Linked DNA regions of Ovis aries. The protein of the gene in region 2 interacts with the protein of the main gene of each other region in a pairwise test. Links are inferred from orthologs where the notes say so. Each region holds a gene or a part of one and is shown on either strand. Other genes may lie near its edges. The genes, in order: CDKN2C, AHCYL1, GEM and SLC23A1.

What was found.
Region 1: the proteins of AHCYL1 (region 2) and CDKN2C interact in binary tests that used the Homo sapiens proteins (3 or more experiments, as listed by UniProt). The two-hybrid records come from large-scale screens. The link is inferred for Ovis aries from reciprocal best matches to the Homo sapiens genes AHCYL1 and CDKN2C.
Region 3: the proteins of AHCYL1 (region 2) and GEM interact in binary tests that used the Homo sapiens proteins (3 or more experiments, as listed by UniProt). The two-hybrid records come from large-scale screens. The link is inferred for Ovis aries from reciprocal best matches to the Homo sapiens genes AHCYL1 and GEM.
Region 4: the proteins of AHCYL1 (region 2) and SLC23A1 interact in binary tests that used the Homo sapiens proteins (3 or more experiments, as listed by UniProt). The two-hybrid records come from large-scale screens. The link is inferred for Ovis aries from reciprocal best matches to the Homo sapiens genes AHCYL1 and SLC23A1.

Annotation. Positions count from the first base shown.
Region 1 is NC_056054.1:25,429,501-25,433,655, reverse strand, and holds the start of CDKN2C (cyclin-dependent kinase 4 inhibitor C), read right to left. Parts: upstream 2,838-4,155; 5' UTR 1,661-2,837; exon of another isoform or gene 1,651-1,660; intron 1,196-1,650; 5' UTR 1,185-1,195; coding exon 1,056-1,184; intron 1-1,055. UniProt on the Homo sapiens protein: Interacts strongly with CDK6, weakly with CDK4. Inhibits cell growth and proliferation with a correlated dependence on endogenous retinoblastoma protein RB.
Region 2 is NC_056054.1:87,334,325-87,337,888, reverse strand, and holds the end of AHCYL1 (S-adenosylhomocysteine hydrolase-like protein 1), read right to left. Parts: intron 3,235-3,564; coding exon 3,114-3,234; coding exon of another isoform or gene 3,110-3,113; exon of another isoform or gene 2,611-3,109; coding exon 2,604-2,610; 3' UTR 537-2,603; downstream 1-536. UniProt on the Homo sapiens protein: Multifaceted cellular regulator which coordinates several essential cellular functions including regulation of epithelial HCO3(-) and fluid secretion, mRNA processing and DNA replication.
Region 3 is NC_056062.1:82,977,389-82,981,348, reverse strand, and holds the end of GEM (GTP-binding protein GEM), read right to left. Parts: intron 3,850-3,960; coding exon 3,645-3,849; intron 2,161-3,644; coding exon 1,883-2,160; 3' UTR 514-1,882; downstream 1-513. UniProt on the Homo sapiens protein: Could be a regulatory protein, possibly participating in receptor-mediated signal transduction at the plasma membrane. Has guanine nucleotide-binding activity but undetectable intrinsic GTPase activity.
Region 4 is NC_056058.1:48,320,909-48,325,178, forward strand, and holds the start of SLC23A1 (solute carrier family 23 member 1), read right to left. Parts: upstream 2,885-4,270; 5' UTR 2,841-2,884; coding exon 2,805-2,840; intron 2,425-2,804; exon of another isoform or gene 2,322-2,424; intron 2,187-2,321; coding exon 2,052-2,186; intron 1,515-2,051; coding exon 1,357-1,514; intron 640-1,356; coding exon 551-639; intron 417-550; coding exon 349-416; intron 1-348.

The DNA.
Region 1 (4,155 bases), about 62 Mb from region 2:
TAAATAATTTAGTATGTATAAGCTTTCTTAATACTGAAATTTTTGCAAAGTCAGTGTATTCTGATTTAAAATATACAGAGTGTATGGACTTCGTCTGTTAGTAGTACATCTCCTGTCACTTAAATTTCTCATTCTTGCAATTAAAAACAAAGCACTCTAAAAACCCTCTCCCCAGTGGATTTTCAAAAACAGCTTTTAAGTGTTGCATTTCAAATACGAACTGCTTTTGAGAATATCATCAGAACTCAGATAAAGCAACTGTTTGAGACTACTTAGCCATTTTTCTGTTTCTAAGCCTTTCAACCAAGTTACATGATAACGTTCAGAGGAGGAAAAAAGTTATTAGGTACAATACTTGGCAGCTGGACATGTTTCATTTGTTGCTTGTAAATCTAATTACTAAAAATTAGAACATACCATGGTAAGACCGCAGAGACAAAAACACTATAAACTGAGCTCTGATTAGAAAATTCAACTTTTTATTCCTCCTCAATCCTGAATGGGTGGATGGTATTATATTAACTGTGAAATGTACATCCTGTGCCTGTGCCCAGGCCACCCATTCCAAATGAGGAAAGGTCGTTTGTCAAAACTTGAAGCATTTGAAGGAAAAAATACCCTCGCCAGTAGTCAAGAAAATTAACGTTAAAGTCAATTATTGGAGCAAAGTACGGAAACCACTAATAGCAGTGTATTTACTTCAAATAATAATCATAATAACGTGTTTACAGAACTGTCTAAAAAAAAAAAAAAACCAAAAAACTCGGCGCTGCTACGACTGGTACACAATCCCCACAGTCACAAAAACATTCCAAAAATTAAGACCAAACCTGGAACCGACTTGATATAGAGGATGTTACTGGATTTGACGAGTTTGTTCAAAGTACGTCATTTTGGGGAGTTGGATCCACTTAAAGATATAAAATATGGCAACCAACTAGTTTTAAAAACAGTGAAATTTAGTACCCCTGAAAGCTTGAAAGCTATTATTCTAGAAACCCGGGTCACGTAGGCAACATTGTTGACCTGTTTTCCCCACCTCTCTGGATACCAACCTGCAGCGCAGTCCTTCCAAATCCATTTTGTGCATTGACGTTTACATTATTTTGCAACAAACTAGTAAGTTGCTCTAGGTCCCCCCTGGCAGCTGCGGACGCCAACTCGTTCCCCCAAGGCTCGGCCATTCTTTAGGGTCCTGACGATCGGGAAAAGATGAATTAGTTGTTTTTCTTTTTCCCCTTTCCTTCGCTCCTAACCAGGCTGCATGATGGCATCGGAGACTGACAGAAGGACTGGGATGGTTAATCTGGAGTAGAGCTTGGTAGTAAATACTAGTAAGATCTGCCTGCCAAAAGCCCGCCCCTCGATTCACACGTGATTATTCAGCAAAACTGAGCCATTGGAGAGGGGCTCCGCTCCTCGCTTTTTAGCTTAACCCCTATGAAGAATTCTGGTGATTAAACTGAGAGATATACAGACACACATATATTCCTGGTAAATTACTCTGGAAGTAAAATGTAGGCAGAGCTGGCACGTACCTACACTACAGATCTCCAGGAGGAATGTATGCGGAGATTTAAGGGACTACGTTAGGGCAGAAAATACCGTGGAAAAAGAGACATTTAGGGGGAAGAAAAGGTATTAACCCACCCTTGCTCACAGTAGTGACTTGAGCCGCGCGAGCCAGTACCGCAGGGGCAGGTCCTCGGAGGGGCTCGGTCTCCATCCGTCTCGGCGAAGGGGTAGTTCTGAGTCCTCCGCTGCAGGGAGAGCGCCTCGGTGGCTGGATGCTGATGTGCTCCGGGGGTTAAAGATGATCACCAAAATCAAACGAGAGTAGCAGTTCCGTGGCCCTCAAGTTACAGGTCGTAAGGACTCCTCCGTGGCCTTCGATTCTCCGGATGAGTCTTAATCCGCGTCCAGGCCGAGCTGCGGGCTAATGCCGTGCGGGAGGGCTCCGGAGCCCGCCCGCCGGGCTACCGCAGCCCTTCCGAGCCTGAGAGGCCGTGGGAGCCAGGCTCGGCGCGCGTCTCCGGAGACGGCCGGGCGCGCGGCGGGCCCCCGGCAAGCCGGTCATGCCGGCCCCACCGGGTCCTGGGACGCCCAGCAGCGTGAGGAAGGGGGAGAGAGATGCGGGAAGTGTCTATGGAGCCCCGGCTGCTGAGGCAGCGCGCTGCAGCATCGCGGCTGCACGGGGCAGCCCACCGGTAACTTCCCGCCTACAACCGAGCCAGTTCAGACTTCCTAATGTAGAAGCTCATTGAACGACCGCCGCTTCTTTTCCTTCCTTTCTCGGTTTTCTGAGGGCTCCAGAGATCGGGAGGGTCCTAGGAAGTCTCAGGCCAAGCTCTGAGTATTGCGAGTCGCCACAATTCCAGGGCGCAGCCAGTTCCGCCCTCGGCGAGAGCTCAACGGCGCCCTGTGCCACTTCGCCAACCTCTCGCAGTCCCCTGGCCTGTGCCCCCAGCCTGTGCCGCCGATAGGGCAGCGGCCGCCAGCCAGCTGTGCCCGGGAGCCTAGCCGGGTAGCACCGCTTCCTCCCGAGCCGCAGCGCTCCCAGTGACAGTTTCTTTTGTAGCTGGTCCCCCCCAAATCACAGGTCCCTGCTCCCTTCACCCCTACAGACACTTGTGCGTCGTGCCCCTTTCTGGTCTTTTCCTTCCCTCCCTCGCTTCTTTTTTCGCTCAAACAATTGCTGCTTCTGTTGCCGCTGCAGAGACGGTGCCGGTTTCTTCTCCCTTTTTTCCGACCTCATCAGCTTTTTTTGAAAAGAAAAAAATTGAGCGCTTTTTGAGTTGAAAAACCCGCCCCCATTTTAACGGCAGAGTTTTAAGGAGGCTCGGCGGAGTTACAGCACCGCGGGAGCGGGAAGGCCGGGCGCCGCCCACGCCCCGCCCTCCGCCCTGGTGGCGCTCGAGCTCTCAGCCCGGTTCGCCCCGCCCCCTGCCCCGCGCCCTTTCTCCCGCCTCCCGGCTCTGCGCTTCCCTCGCTGTCTCCTGCGCTGGCTCCCACCCGCCAGCCCAGCGGCCAGGCCCGGGCTGGAGCGGCTTTCGGCCCGGCGAAGCCGGGTTTGGCCTCCTTTGGCTGGCGGGCGGAATGGAGGGTGCGACGTGAAACCTCGAGCTGTCCTGAGGCCGGCGGGGCCGGAGGTGGGGAAAAGAGGCTTGTTAATTAAGGGTGCGGAGAGCCGCAGGGCCTCGGAGGCTCGGCGGCTCTGACTGTTGGAAGGCAGAGAGGAGGCTGGCGCGGAGCTAGTCTTTCCCGGGCCTTGGCGGGGCAGGCCGCCCGCCTCAGCGCTCCCCGGCCATGCTCTCGAAGTTCCGGAGGCCAGGCCTATCGCTGCCGCCACCACCTCCGTGGCGCGCTCTGTGCAAACTCGGCCTCCTTTTCTCAGTCCAGCGCTTCGGCCTCGCACCTGCCAGATCAACGCTGAGGGCCGCGGTGGGCCGAGGTGGCCGCGGGGATGGAGGGAGAGACCTGACTGACAGCAAAAAAACTGTGCTCAGAAAAAGCAAAAGCCTTTTCTAGACTGATTGTTACGAAAACTAAAGGCATGGTGTAGGTAAGAAATCACGACGAACTGAAGCCTTAATGTTCCAGGGACTTGAAACGGAAATATTCCATTTCTTTGGGGAAAGGGAGAAAAGCAATTAACTTTAAAGCCAAAAAAATCTTTTAAAGTAGGTCTTGGGAAGGGTTTTCTAAGAAGGGCCTTTGTTTTTGTCAAAGTTCTCTCTGACTACTTTAGATGGGACTTGTTGGGGGTGGGGGAGGGGTGTTTAAATGTAAAGGAATAGTATTTTCCCTAATGTTTATTTCAGTCGTCCGAGGCACCAGTTCTCTGTACTTTTACTTCCTTTTTTAGCTATGTAAGATTAATTAATTACTGCTTTCTATATTTTTTGCTCTTAAAAATATCCAACACGGTTGCATGATGCACCCAGTGGGCAAAATGAAACCAAACAAAAAGTGACAGGTGGTCTAATTATTACCGGTCTCTAGCAAGCATGTTTTCAAGCAACATCTATACCGAGCTCCTTGAGGTACACTGTAGGTATTAGCAACGAAACACATCAACAACATCTGGATAGTCATTAGTAACAGATTGCCTGGTAGGTAGAGGGAGAGTTCGAACTTTGAGCAATCTGGTGGTGT
Region 2 (3,564 bases):
TATATTTGGATTTATTTGCATGGATAAAACCTTGCAGAACTAAAAACATTCATTTTACCAATCTGCACTGCAAAATCAACATTGTTTGGGATCAGTTTAATAAAATAGAAAGGGTGTTATTTTGAACAATATTAACAGATACACTGTTAAATCAGAAAATATGGAGACTACTTCAGCGATGGATACAGGTATGGTGTGGGGTGGGGATGGGCTAAAGCTTACATAACTTTGGAGGTGTTTTTTAAGAATTAGGTACAGGGTCTTATGAAGGGGACTGTGTACCTGAGGCAGCCTGAATTTTAGGCAGCAAGTTGCAGGAACGAAGTTAAAGTGAAAGTGTGTAGGCCCAATGCTGGGCACAGAGCAGACACAAAATTTAAGATATTACTGAGGAACTCTGCATCTAGCCTCTTCCTCTACATACTAGGTCCTAAAAAATCTCTCAGATATTGCTAACTGACCAATGACTTGTCCCATCTTGGAAAACAGATTCTAAATGAAGGTGTTGTTCAAACAAGAATGACACAGGATTCCAATAAGGTCTTATCATTTTAATTGACTTTAATGATTATTGCTCGTCTGCAAGGATTAATATTGCATTCATTAAAAATCATTCAATACAAAATAAACTTGTTCCTCCTAAGTTGCTCTCCACATGCTCCCTCTGATGCCAGACATTTTCCCACAGTGTCCTTTGTTACATGGCTTGACAGAGACGGAGCCCTTATCGAGTATTCCTATGGACACAGTAAAAGATATGGGAGCAGGGGGCAGGCCAGAGGGTAGCAGGACCTGAGCCCCTTCCCTCTAGCAGAGCTGACATGATGGATACCACTGTTGGCCAGGTTATCTCCCCTAAAGGATGTGCTGTTCTGATTGGCTGGTTAAATGCCCTGGGAAAAGGGCTTGAACTGTTAGCATCTACAGAGAAGAAAGCATGGTTGCATTGGCAAGGAGTGGGAAGGGGCAGGGTAGGGAGAAAAAAGGGAAAAAATTTTTGGCAAGATCACTGTCCCCTGATAGGAAGTCACAGGGTGGAAGCTTTCCTTTTTTATATTTCTGTTTTTAATTAATGCCTGTCCCGCTGATCAATAACAACAGGGAAATGAAAATTTCTAGTATCTAGCACTAATGCCTGACCCAACTTTGAAGGATCACAAGCTAGAACAAGTTGAGGATTTAGAATCCTAGATAATTATGCATTTAAAGCTCATGAGCATAAAGCTCGTCTGACCATGCAGAAATGCTGGTAAGCAGGGTTCATGGCAGGGGAATATATCATCTCTCTGATCTCTAAGAGAGCCTTTCTGGGGATTCTTACAGAGCGTGAGCCAGGACATACCGATTACTCTAGGCACAAACTGCCCTTTGAGGTCTCAGTTCGCACACTTTCTGTGTCACGTGTAAATCAAAAGTGGTACTGCTTCTGTAAAACCTAAGTTATATGGGGCCTAATGTCCCAGACAAGTTAAACAGAGCTGATTTCCCTCACCCTGGCCCAATTTAGCCTTCCTCCTCCCATCCACACCTACCTCCCTTTAAATATTTTAAATTGCAGAAGCACAGCTGATCAGAAATTTGCTCTTAAAGAGAGTTCAGTGCTATATACTGACTAATGACTCAAGAAATTTGCTTCCAGCACAAGCTGATGGGCAGAGCTGATAAAATCCGCTATTATGGCCACAGTTCATTGATGCTAGGAACTATGGGCTAGAAACTGGAATTATCAGAATTTGAAATCAGCATTTCTCTAGACTCAACTCTGCACTTTTAGCTCCAAAGGTTCAAAAGATAAACTGATAACAACTAATCACTCAAGCAGCTCCTCAATATTAAGACTAAACGTTTTTCTTACTTAAAAAACAAATAAAAAACCCTAAAACAAAAACAGAAATAAATGCTAGGGGACAAAATTCAACTTAACAGAACAGTCTGGTTAAAAACCTGGAAAATGAGAGGGTCTGGTGGGAAGTGGAGGAAGGGCTGTACTAAATCCAAGTGGGCCTACTGGATCTTAACAAGCAACACTCACTAGTATACATCTCTGAACCAAACATACCACCTTTACACAGGAAACAGGGCTTGGAATATCTAGGGGAAATTAACATGCACCACCTACATCTAACCTACCTGCCTGGTAGGTACCATCCCTGCTCCTCTGAAGAAGTGAAAGAGCACTGATTCCAGCAGCTGAGAAATGGGCTCTTTTAAGGCAATTTAGACATTGCAGATTGTTCCACACAGACGGTACCTTAGCGTCTCCTGTTAATAAGGTACCCAATTAAGACTATTAAGTCCCCAGAAATGGAAAAGAAAGGATCACCTTTCTGGGCTGGGAGAGTAAAATCCTTCTTTAGTGACTAGGGTGAGAAACCTTTAATCTCAGTTTCATCTAAAGAGCCATGAAGCAAGTTCCTGTGTGGTCTGTAGAACTTGGATAATGAGATGAAAAAAAAAAAAAAAAAAAAAAACCCAAGAAAGAAATTATAGGAAAAAAAAAAAATCAAAAGGAAAGGATTAAGAAGAAAATAAAAGTTATCTTAAAAAATATTTCTTTTAGAATTGTGTGGTTCATGTGTTCTGGTCCTTGGTAATATGGTCCATTAGTATCTGTAAAGAAAGAGTAACTGGTTAGCACCTGTGTCTTCCAAATCAGAGTTCCAAGAGAAGAATAAAAAACAGAGAACACTCTCCAGGGTCTTCCCTTGCATAGGCCAGGGATTCCTGCAGTCATTCCCCAGGGATCATTTCTCACTGTGTTTCCACAGGATTTCCAACAATGCCATCTCTAGCTTTCTCTCCCGCTCCCTAATAAGTCAGTGATTTTCAATGTGACAATATGTTAGAATAATCTGAAGAAGTTTTACAAAATAAGCCTGGGCCCCATTCTAGACTAACTCTATCAGAATCTCTCGGGGGGAGGCTCAAGCTCCAAAATTTTAGAAAATGCTGACTTCTTTACATCTACTACTAGATAGATAATTTCTCTGTTTACTTTTTAGTGTGGGGCAGAGTTCTTGTACATTTCAAAATCAGCTATAATACCATTTAGAAAAGTCTGCTTGGTATAATATCAGGGAGAACATCTTTTCATTTACTTTCCCCCGAGTTACCTGTAGTAATTGGGTTTGAATGGCCCATTTTTGTTGAGTCCCAGATATTTTGCTTGGTCATCTGTCAGCTCTGTCAGGTGGGCATCAAATGATGGCAGGTGCAAGCTGGCAACGTACTCATCTAAGAAGAACAAAGCAGCAGGGAGCAAACTCCATATAAAATATGCCTCTCAGGGCACAGCCTCCCATTATTTCATCTGAAGCTTTCTGAGAGAGAGGACAAGGCTTGGAATAACACTGAAAGAATCTAACTTGGAATATTCGCCTAATTAAAAAAACCACTCAACGTTGTCTTTAAGGTATCTTTCAGTACAATCAGAATGTATTACGAAAGCCATTCGGCAGAGTGACAAAATAGGGCAACTTGTACCGCCCCATTCTTCTCTGGCAAAGCTTCTGGGTTCACCTCAATAGCCAACATAACACGTACTACCCTCACCTTCCTGCAGCA
Region 3 (3,960 bases), on a different chromosome or scaffold from region 2:
CTTCCCTGTACTGTTTCCTTACACGATTCAAAGATGCCAAGTTCTGAGATGGGAACTTCTGCTCCCAACTTGGAAAACGGAGGAGAAAGGGCAACAGAACAGAAAAGAAGCCCCTTGTGAAACTGTGTCACTCGGGGCAATATGCAAGGTCCCATGATTGTCACTGTGAGTGTGTGTGTGACCACAAACTCAGAAGGAGAGGGAGTTGAGAGTGAAAGAGGGTACACATGTGGGCCAGGGGTGTGAAGAGGGAGTCCCTCTCCTGTAGCAGAAGGGCTACACAGTGCCACTGGAAAGCAACTATGTATTAATGTCCAGCTGTAATAAAGTCAACAGGGAGAATTTGGTTAAAGCCTTGCCTGGCTAGATCTCAGGCTGAAAATCACCAGCTTCCTTTTTTACCTCCCTAATCCTTTATAATTTCCTCTAATGCTTTACTCAAGCTTAGGACCATGAGCCTTTGGGGAGCAAAGTGAGGCCCATCTGTTGAGTTAGGAATTTGCCAGACCAAAGTAAAAATCAATCTCACTTTTATTGTAACTTAGCATTTATGTGACTCCAAATACTTCCTAACTGTATCAGCTGAAAATCACTTTGCATTATTGTGAATCACGTCCCAAAGGACAGATGTCAGGAATACTCTTTAAAACAGATAATTACTAGGCTATTGCCAATGAAAAGAAGAAATAAAACGATAGGTAGGTTTCTTTATAATTTGCTTGCTCTGGAAGCTATACCAAAATGATCACAATCATCTTTCCTGGAGAGGAAAAATATTTAGGAATGCCTTTTTTTTCCCAAAGATTTTATTTATTTTATTATAAGACATATAGGTAAAAACTTGAATATTCTGAAAAAGATAGAAAATGGTAATAAAATGGGTGTTTTTCTTAATAAGAAACAGGTTCATAAATATGCTTTATCAAATGTTACAATGGTTGTTATTTTGCAAAATAATAATAAATAGAGCAGAGCTGTGGCATACAAGGGTCAACCCAAAATGCTGGAAGTATTTATATTTTGTGTTTTACAAAAATGCAGAGCTTCGATTATATTTTAAAATCTGGCATTTCGCACTCTATGTTCTCAGTAATTTAGATGTTAAAAATATTTTTATGATGTCCCCATGATTTTAAAAACAATGCAACAGAAAATGTGGTTTGGCTAAATAGAATCTGATTAAAATAATTTCCCCCTAAATAAAAAAATATAAGACACAATAGTAAATACACAATTTTTGAACCCATTAGTGGTACATGTATCCATTCCCAATTCTACAGATTTCTGGATCACCAACTATGGGCACTGAACAAAAATGGTTTGCTAAGCTTTCGTTTCCAGCAAGTCCATCATCTCTCACAGCTTCACGGAGCAATGACAGTGATGACCTTGATGAACCCAGTTATGCAGTTCTAGCTCCACAAATAAAAGCTACAAAGACAGAGGTTCTCCTTCCTTTGCAAAACTCCTTTGACAGCTTTCCTATATTTGCCTAGGACCGACTGAGTGGCCTCAAATAACATATCAGAACACCAGGCAAAATTTTAACAAGGAAAAGTTCTTGTCCAGGCATTCTTCCTTAGGCTTCGATTCTCCATCTGCGAAAGGAGAGAAGAAACACGTGGACCCCGACCACGCCCTCTAATGAGTCTTGGGTGTTCAGACAGCAAAGGTCAGGCTTTTCCTGTAAGTGAATACTGACTCCTCACGAAGCCCTTTCATTTCCCATGCGTACGGTTGCCCAGCAGGCTAGCACATTAGTTCCCAGCTACAATAGGGGAAGCCACATCTAACGATACTTAAGAATCCAATCTAATATAGATTATGGGTCCCAGCGGCCTTCAGTGATGTCCTCTGCGGGACAGCGGGTGACTCTGGGTGCCTAGAGCACCGAGAGGTCGTGGCAGGATTTGGACTTGAGCTTGAAGGCCATGTTCTTGTTGTTTTTGGCCACGATCTTGCCCCAGAAGCGCCTGGCTTTCCTGGGGATGCTCTCCCGCCGCTTCTGGTAGGCCAGCCGTCGCTCGTTCTTCTCCTTGCTGTCCCGCCGGAGGCGGACCTGCCGCACGATCCCTTCAAACAGCTCCTTGACGTTGTGCTGGACGGCCGCAGAGGTCTCGATGAACTTGCAGTCGAACACCACAGCACACGCTCTCCCTTCTGGTGGGGAAAGCAAGAGGGCGAGAGGAGAGTCAGGGGAGCTGCAGATTTGACCCGCCACGCACACAGCCAAGCTGGATGCGGCCTAACTTTAAACAGTGCCCCGGGGAACTCGAAGTCAGCGATGCACGTGATGGATACCGGAGGCCACGGGGACAAGTGGCCTCCCTGAAACAGAAGCAAAGAGCCTCACAGGAAGATTCCTGGAAGCAGCAAAGACGGGCTTTAGATCGGGCCCACCAAATTCACGGTGTGAGGGTCCCATGTCACCAGTGCCATAGTATTAATTATAATAGTCCCAGCCATCGTCGAAATTGACTCCCCTCGGGAAATGGGTTAAATACTTGACAAATATTTTTTAATGTTCACAGCAATCTTTAAAAGTACACTATCCCTTTCAGATAGCTGATGAGACTGGAAGGGAGAGAAGGTGGTACTTTAAAAACTTGAGGGCGTTCACACAGCCTGTAAGTAGCAGCTGTGAATCCGGGTCTGCTTCCCTCTCAAGTTCATCTTCTTTACTCCTTCTCCTGATTCAGTTTCCTGAATCGAAAATTAAGAATCCTACTAGTTGGTTTCCTCTCTTAAAAAAATGTTTTTTTAAGTTTTGATGAGATATTTTGAAAAAATTTTGATGATTTCACACATGCACAGTACAATTACAGCAACTCTACAAACAAGTTTTTCTGAAACAGTCTCAATTTCGAATGTTCTACTGTGTTCAATGACCAGGTGTCCACATTTTGGTTTGGGGGAAACTGACTACTATAGACAGCCATTTCCCAAGAGTAAGGCATTCCCAAGCTGGTTGGGTCTTTTCAGTCTTTTTCAAGGTTCTTTACTGCTGGGTGGAGGCTGGCAATGCAGCATTTTATTTTTTTTTTTTACCATTGTACAAATCTGTATTAGGCCAATAAAATTTTAAGGTCCCCAAAGGCACTTGGGTGCCAGCTCAACAAAGAGAAGTATCCCTGAATTATGACAAAGGGTACCTGACACCAGCAGACTGATGCCTTGACTGGAATTCAGGAAACAAAGAGTGAGGGCTGGGAGGGTGTTTCTAGGGTCAACAGGAACCAGAGGCAGCCAGAGTGGAATTCTCAATCTCGGTAAGACTCTTTCTCACAATGCCCCTTAATCAAAGTGCCCAACCTTCCTGTCTAAAGATGTTACTTTCACTTCCCAGAAGGCTTGAGATCTCCCTGGAGAATAGAAGGGCCAAAACGCTGGGGATGGCCAGTTTCCCCTGAGCCGCACCTCTTCCCTAAAGGAATCCCAGAGAAAGCCTTGGGGATGGAGAGACTGGAATCCCGCAGGTAGAGCAGATGATCTGCTGGGAACATGGACCTCTTAGAGAGGATGCGTGAAACTCCACGTGGCATTTTAGTAAGTCCCTGGTTTCAGCTTCAGGAAAGAGCAACCGTTGGAAGCAAAATGCAAGGGACTCAGAGACATTTCTACGGTACTGGCATCGCTCCTCTTACCTGATACAGACACTTCCCGGCACCGCACCAGGTCACTTTTGTTGCCAACCAGGATTATCGGGATGTCCTCGGTCTGCCGGGCCCTGCGGAGCTGAATCCTCAGCTCAGACGCCTTCTCGAAGCTGGCTCGGTCCGTGATGGAGTAGACGATCAGGTAGGCATCCCCGACCTGCATGCAGTGGTCCTGCAGCCACTCACTCTCCCCCTGATAAAGGAGAAGGTCTTCCATGAGCTCAGATCTGCCTGGTTAAATGAGGTCTCCATTTGAAAGAGGGATCGTGTGTATCTCAGAGTCCCTCTGCTGATATGGGGAAGG
Region 4 (4,270 bases), on a different chromosome or scaffold from region 2:
CCAAGACTATTGAGCCTGTGCTCCAGAGCCCGGGTACCACAACTACTGAGCCCACGTGATGCAACTACTGAAGCCTGCATGCCCTAGAGCCTGTTCTCTGCAGCAAGAGAAGCCACCCCAACGAGAAGCCCATGCACTGCAACGAAGAATAGCTCCTGCTTGCCGCAACTAGAGGAAAACCCACATAGCATCCAAGACCCAACACAGCCGGAAATAAATAATTACATAAAATTATACAGAAAAAGTTCCTGGACCACATTCTCACATCCCCCAATTCAGCAGTGGCCTTCCCCTCCATCTAACCACACTCTCAAGTCCAGGCCTCTTCTGCCCCACATGCAAACCCACCTCTCGTATCCGTGGGTGCCAAATATGTGAGGTATTCAGGGGCAGACTCCAGTTACCGTAGATCTCTTCTGTGGGCAGAGATAGGAACACACATGTGGACAGAGAGAAAGTAAAGATGCTGCCCTGAATGGACACGGGACAGCCCCGACCTCCAGGCTCTGGGGATTCCCTTTCCCAATGCAGACCCCAGAAATGCACCCACCTTCTGGAGGGCATTTCCATCTCTCTAGGGCCAGGATGGCTTTCGCTGGGACCAGAAATGCAAAGGCACTGGCCTGGAACAGCGGCAGCCTGGAAGCAGAGGCACAGAGCCACAGGGACAGGATGGGAGGTGGGGAGGCAGGAACAAGAGATGGGGCGGGGGACCCACACAGAGAGAGGCACCGGGAGAATCACCGGGACAGAGACACAGAGGAACAGGGGCCAGGGCAGAACAGAGGGAACTCACTGAGGCCTCAGGCCAGACTCGGGGACATTTTGGGTGCCTAAGAAAGAAAACAAATGGAGCCCCTAACCCATAACCTGCTCCCTTTCCCTCTGAGCACCAGCTCCTGCACTGTGACGGGCCATGGGCACGGGAGTGGATAGCTTGGCTCCTGTGTGCAAGCTCTGCTCACAACCTTCCTTCCCACAAACAACCATCCTTAGGCCACCCAGGCCTAGGACTGTGCACAAGGGGCAGGGAGCCCCCAGGAGGACAGGCCATTGAAGGGGCCCGCAAAGGCTCTGGAAGCAGGAGAGCGAGTGGTCCCGATTGCCCAGAGTAAGGCTGAACAGAGGAGAGCCCAGCTAGGCACGTTCCTTTTCCTTGAGGAACTCCCAGGGGTCCAGGGTGGGACCCCAGCCACCTGCCTCTAAGTCTGGCCTGGAAGCCAGAGCAGCAGGTGGGCACAAATAGCAGCTCTTTGTGTCCCACGAGAGCCCTCTGAGACTGCGCCTGCTGTGTGGGTCGCTGCGTGTGTCTATAGGAACGGGGTCGGAGGTACAGGTGGCACATGGGCAGCTCACCGGATGCCCAGTGTGGTCTGGATGAGGGTGGTGATGCCCACACAGGTGAAGATGGTGCCAATGAGCTGGCTGACCATGTACTGGTCACGGCCCACACACAGCGCCTCCGCCAGCAGGAAGGGCACGGCGATGGTGCCGCTGAAGCAGGTCAGGTAGTGCTAGGGGCGGGGAGATGGGGGCAGCACGTGAGGCAGGGCCCAGGGAGCCCACCCGGAAGCAGGGGGCCTCAGAGCCCTCACCCTGCCTCAGGGGGCCTGAGCCCAGGCCAGCCCCACCAGGGAGCCCGCCCGGAAGCAGGGGGCCTCAGAGCCCTCACCCTGCCTCAGGGGGCCTGAGCCCAGGCCAGCCCCACCAGGGAGCCCGCCTGGGACTGATACTCCCATAAGGGACTCCCGCAGAGCGACTGCTCACCTCTCTGGGAGTCACCATCTGCCCCGGGTTACTCCCGCAGCTCCTGTGGGATGGGCCTCCTCCCTGTCACTGGCGCTCCCCCTGGCGGGTGATGCGCCGTCCCTTTCAGACCCTATCAAGCCTCTTCCCCACCGACTTGGTGACAGTCACTGCTGCTGACCTTAGGTTTCTCTTCCTGTTACCCAGGATGACCTCGTTGGCCAGGGAGGGGGCTGGGATCCTGGGGTGGGTGCAGGGTGGTCGGGGTGGGGGCTGCGCAAGGGGTATGCCTGGGAGACGCCCACCTGGAAGCCCAGCAGCACGCACAGGTACCAGGGCGGCACATCTTCGATCTTGTACAACATGTCAAACTTGGGTTCTGTGGACAGGGACGCTGGGGGGTCCCTCGTGGAGGTCCCTGCCGAACCCAGGGACTCATGCTGGGGGCAGCATATAGAAGAACTCAGCGTTGACACCCAGAAAAAGTCCACTTTGCTTCAGAATCAATCAGGTGCCCCTAGTGGCCTGTCGGCTCCACAGATGGGGGCCCCTGCCCTCCCTCAAGCTTCACCTACCCGCTCTCCCTTGGCCTGGCTACACCTGGCTCCCACCTCACGTTGCCTTGTGCAGGAGTGAGTCCACTGTGCTGGCTCCAGGAGCCCCCGGAACCTGGGCCTTCTAGCCAAGGGAATGGGCCCGTGAGTCAGAAGCCTGGAGGTACCCCAGGAAGAGGCCAAGAGGGCTAAAGACCGAGACAGACCCTCTTCGACCCACTCTGGTCCCACCAGTGCCCCGGTCCTTGGAGTGTCCGCTAGTGGGGGGTGGTAGGCTGGCCCCCTGCTCATTCCAGGCTGGAGTCAGCCAGTCCCAAAGCAGAAAGCTCTTTCACCCCCACTGCCACCTCCACCGCCTCCCCCAGTTGCCACATTCCACCTAGGACAGTCACTCTTGATCCAGTTCATCAGAACTTTTCTCTCTGCACAGCAGAGAGAGGGAGCAGGCTTGCACAGCACCCCACCCCCACCCACCCCACCCCATTCCCACTCATCCCCCAGCACCTGTGTCTGGCCCTCAGCGTCCTCCCGGGCCCTCATCTTTGGGGCACAGGTGTGAGCCGTTCCTGAGGAGAAGGAGGGATGGCTTTACAAAGGCCAAGGAGGACTTTACTCCACATATCAGGCATTGTTTGAAGTAAATCTGTAACCAGATCTCTATCACTGATTGCGAAAGGAGGGCCCAGGCTGAGGTAACGTATTAACTCTGGCTGTAGTGGGAAAGGCCGCCCAAGCCTCTGCCACACGTACCTCCTGAGCACTCCCTTGCTTGCACCTGAGCCTGGGCACGGGCCATGAGTTTTCCAAGAGAGGGCCAGAGGGAGGGTGAGGAGTGGACGACCTTGGAAGGGTACCAGGCCCTGGGTGAGGTGAGGAGAAAGGGAGTGACCCTGGGCACATATGATGTCACACTCTGAATCAGGCTTTTCTCTACTTATTAATAAGAAGTTAATCATTATCATCATCATAACCCATCTTGTTATTGAGGAATGACTGCGTGCCAAGCAACATCCTTGTATTGTCAAGTCTAACCCCAGGCTCTGGGCTCTATTAACCTGTTTCACAGCTGATGGAAACAGATTTAGGAGATGTGATCTGACCAAGGCCACACAGGTCGCAAGGTTTTAGAAAACCATTCCAAAAATTAGGTTTGCCTGAACGCCTAAACCCACTGTATTTATTTCTACATTAAATGTCATGAAGGACTGCCCTCCCCACCACTACCGCTCAGGGTCCCTGAGGCAAAATCAGATAGGCCCAAGGAGCTGCCAGGGCTAGCCCGGTCTTGCCTGTCCTCTGTGTCAGGACAAGGATTCCTTTCCTTCCCTCCTAGCCAGGACCAGCTGTGTGATCTGTGGGACCCAGTGCAAAACCTGGGACCCCTGTTCCAAAAGTGTTATAAATTTTAAAACAGCAACAGCAGAGCATTAAACCAAATTGGGGGGGGGGGGTGCCTTTCTAAGCATCAGGCCCTGTGTGATGGCCACACAGCCCCTGAAGCAGCCCTGGGCCGGACCATCTTCCCCACCTAGGGGTTGGAGAAAGCCCAGGGGTTGAGGCTCTAGGCCAGTGGGGGCTGAGCCCGAGGTCCCTTCCGTGCCTTCCCAGCCCCCTCAGGGTCCACCTACTTCTGGGTCGCTGTGCCCACGGCCAGGGCCTGCCCCGAGGGCTACCAGGCAGCATCGCTGTCCAGCTGGGTAGCAGCTTCATGTCACAGCCCTGAATCCAAAGGCTTATCCAGCCTCCAGCCCGTTGCTCCAGCCTCCAGCCCGTTGCTCTGCCTGCCTGTCCTCTCCTCTCCCTTCTTGGCTACTGCTCCCAGGTTCCCAAAGTTGTCTGACCAGTTCAAAGCCTGTACTCCTCAGCACTTTCCTCCCCACCCTCTTTTCCTCGGTACTCCCTAGGGGGCTGGAGAGACAGCCCCACCCTTTCCACACACTGTCCTTTGGTCATTCAAGTCTACCCAAACC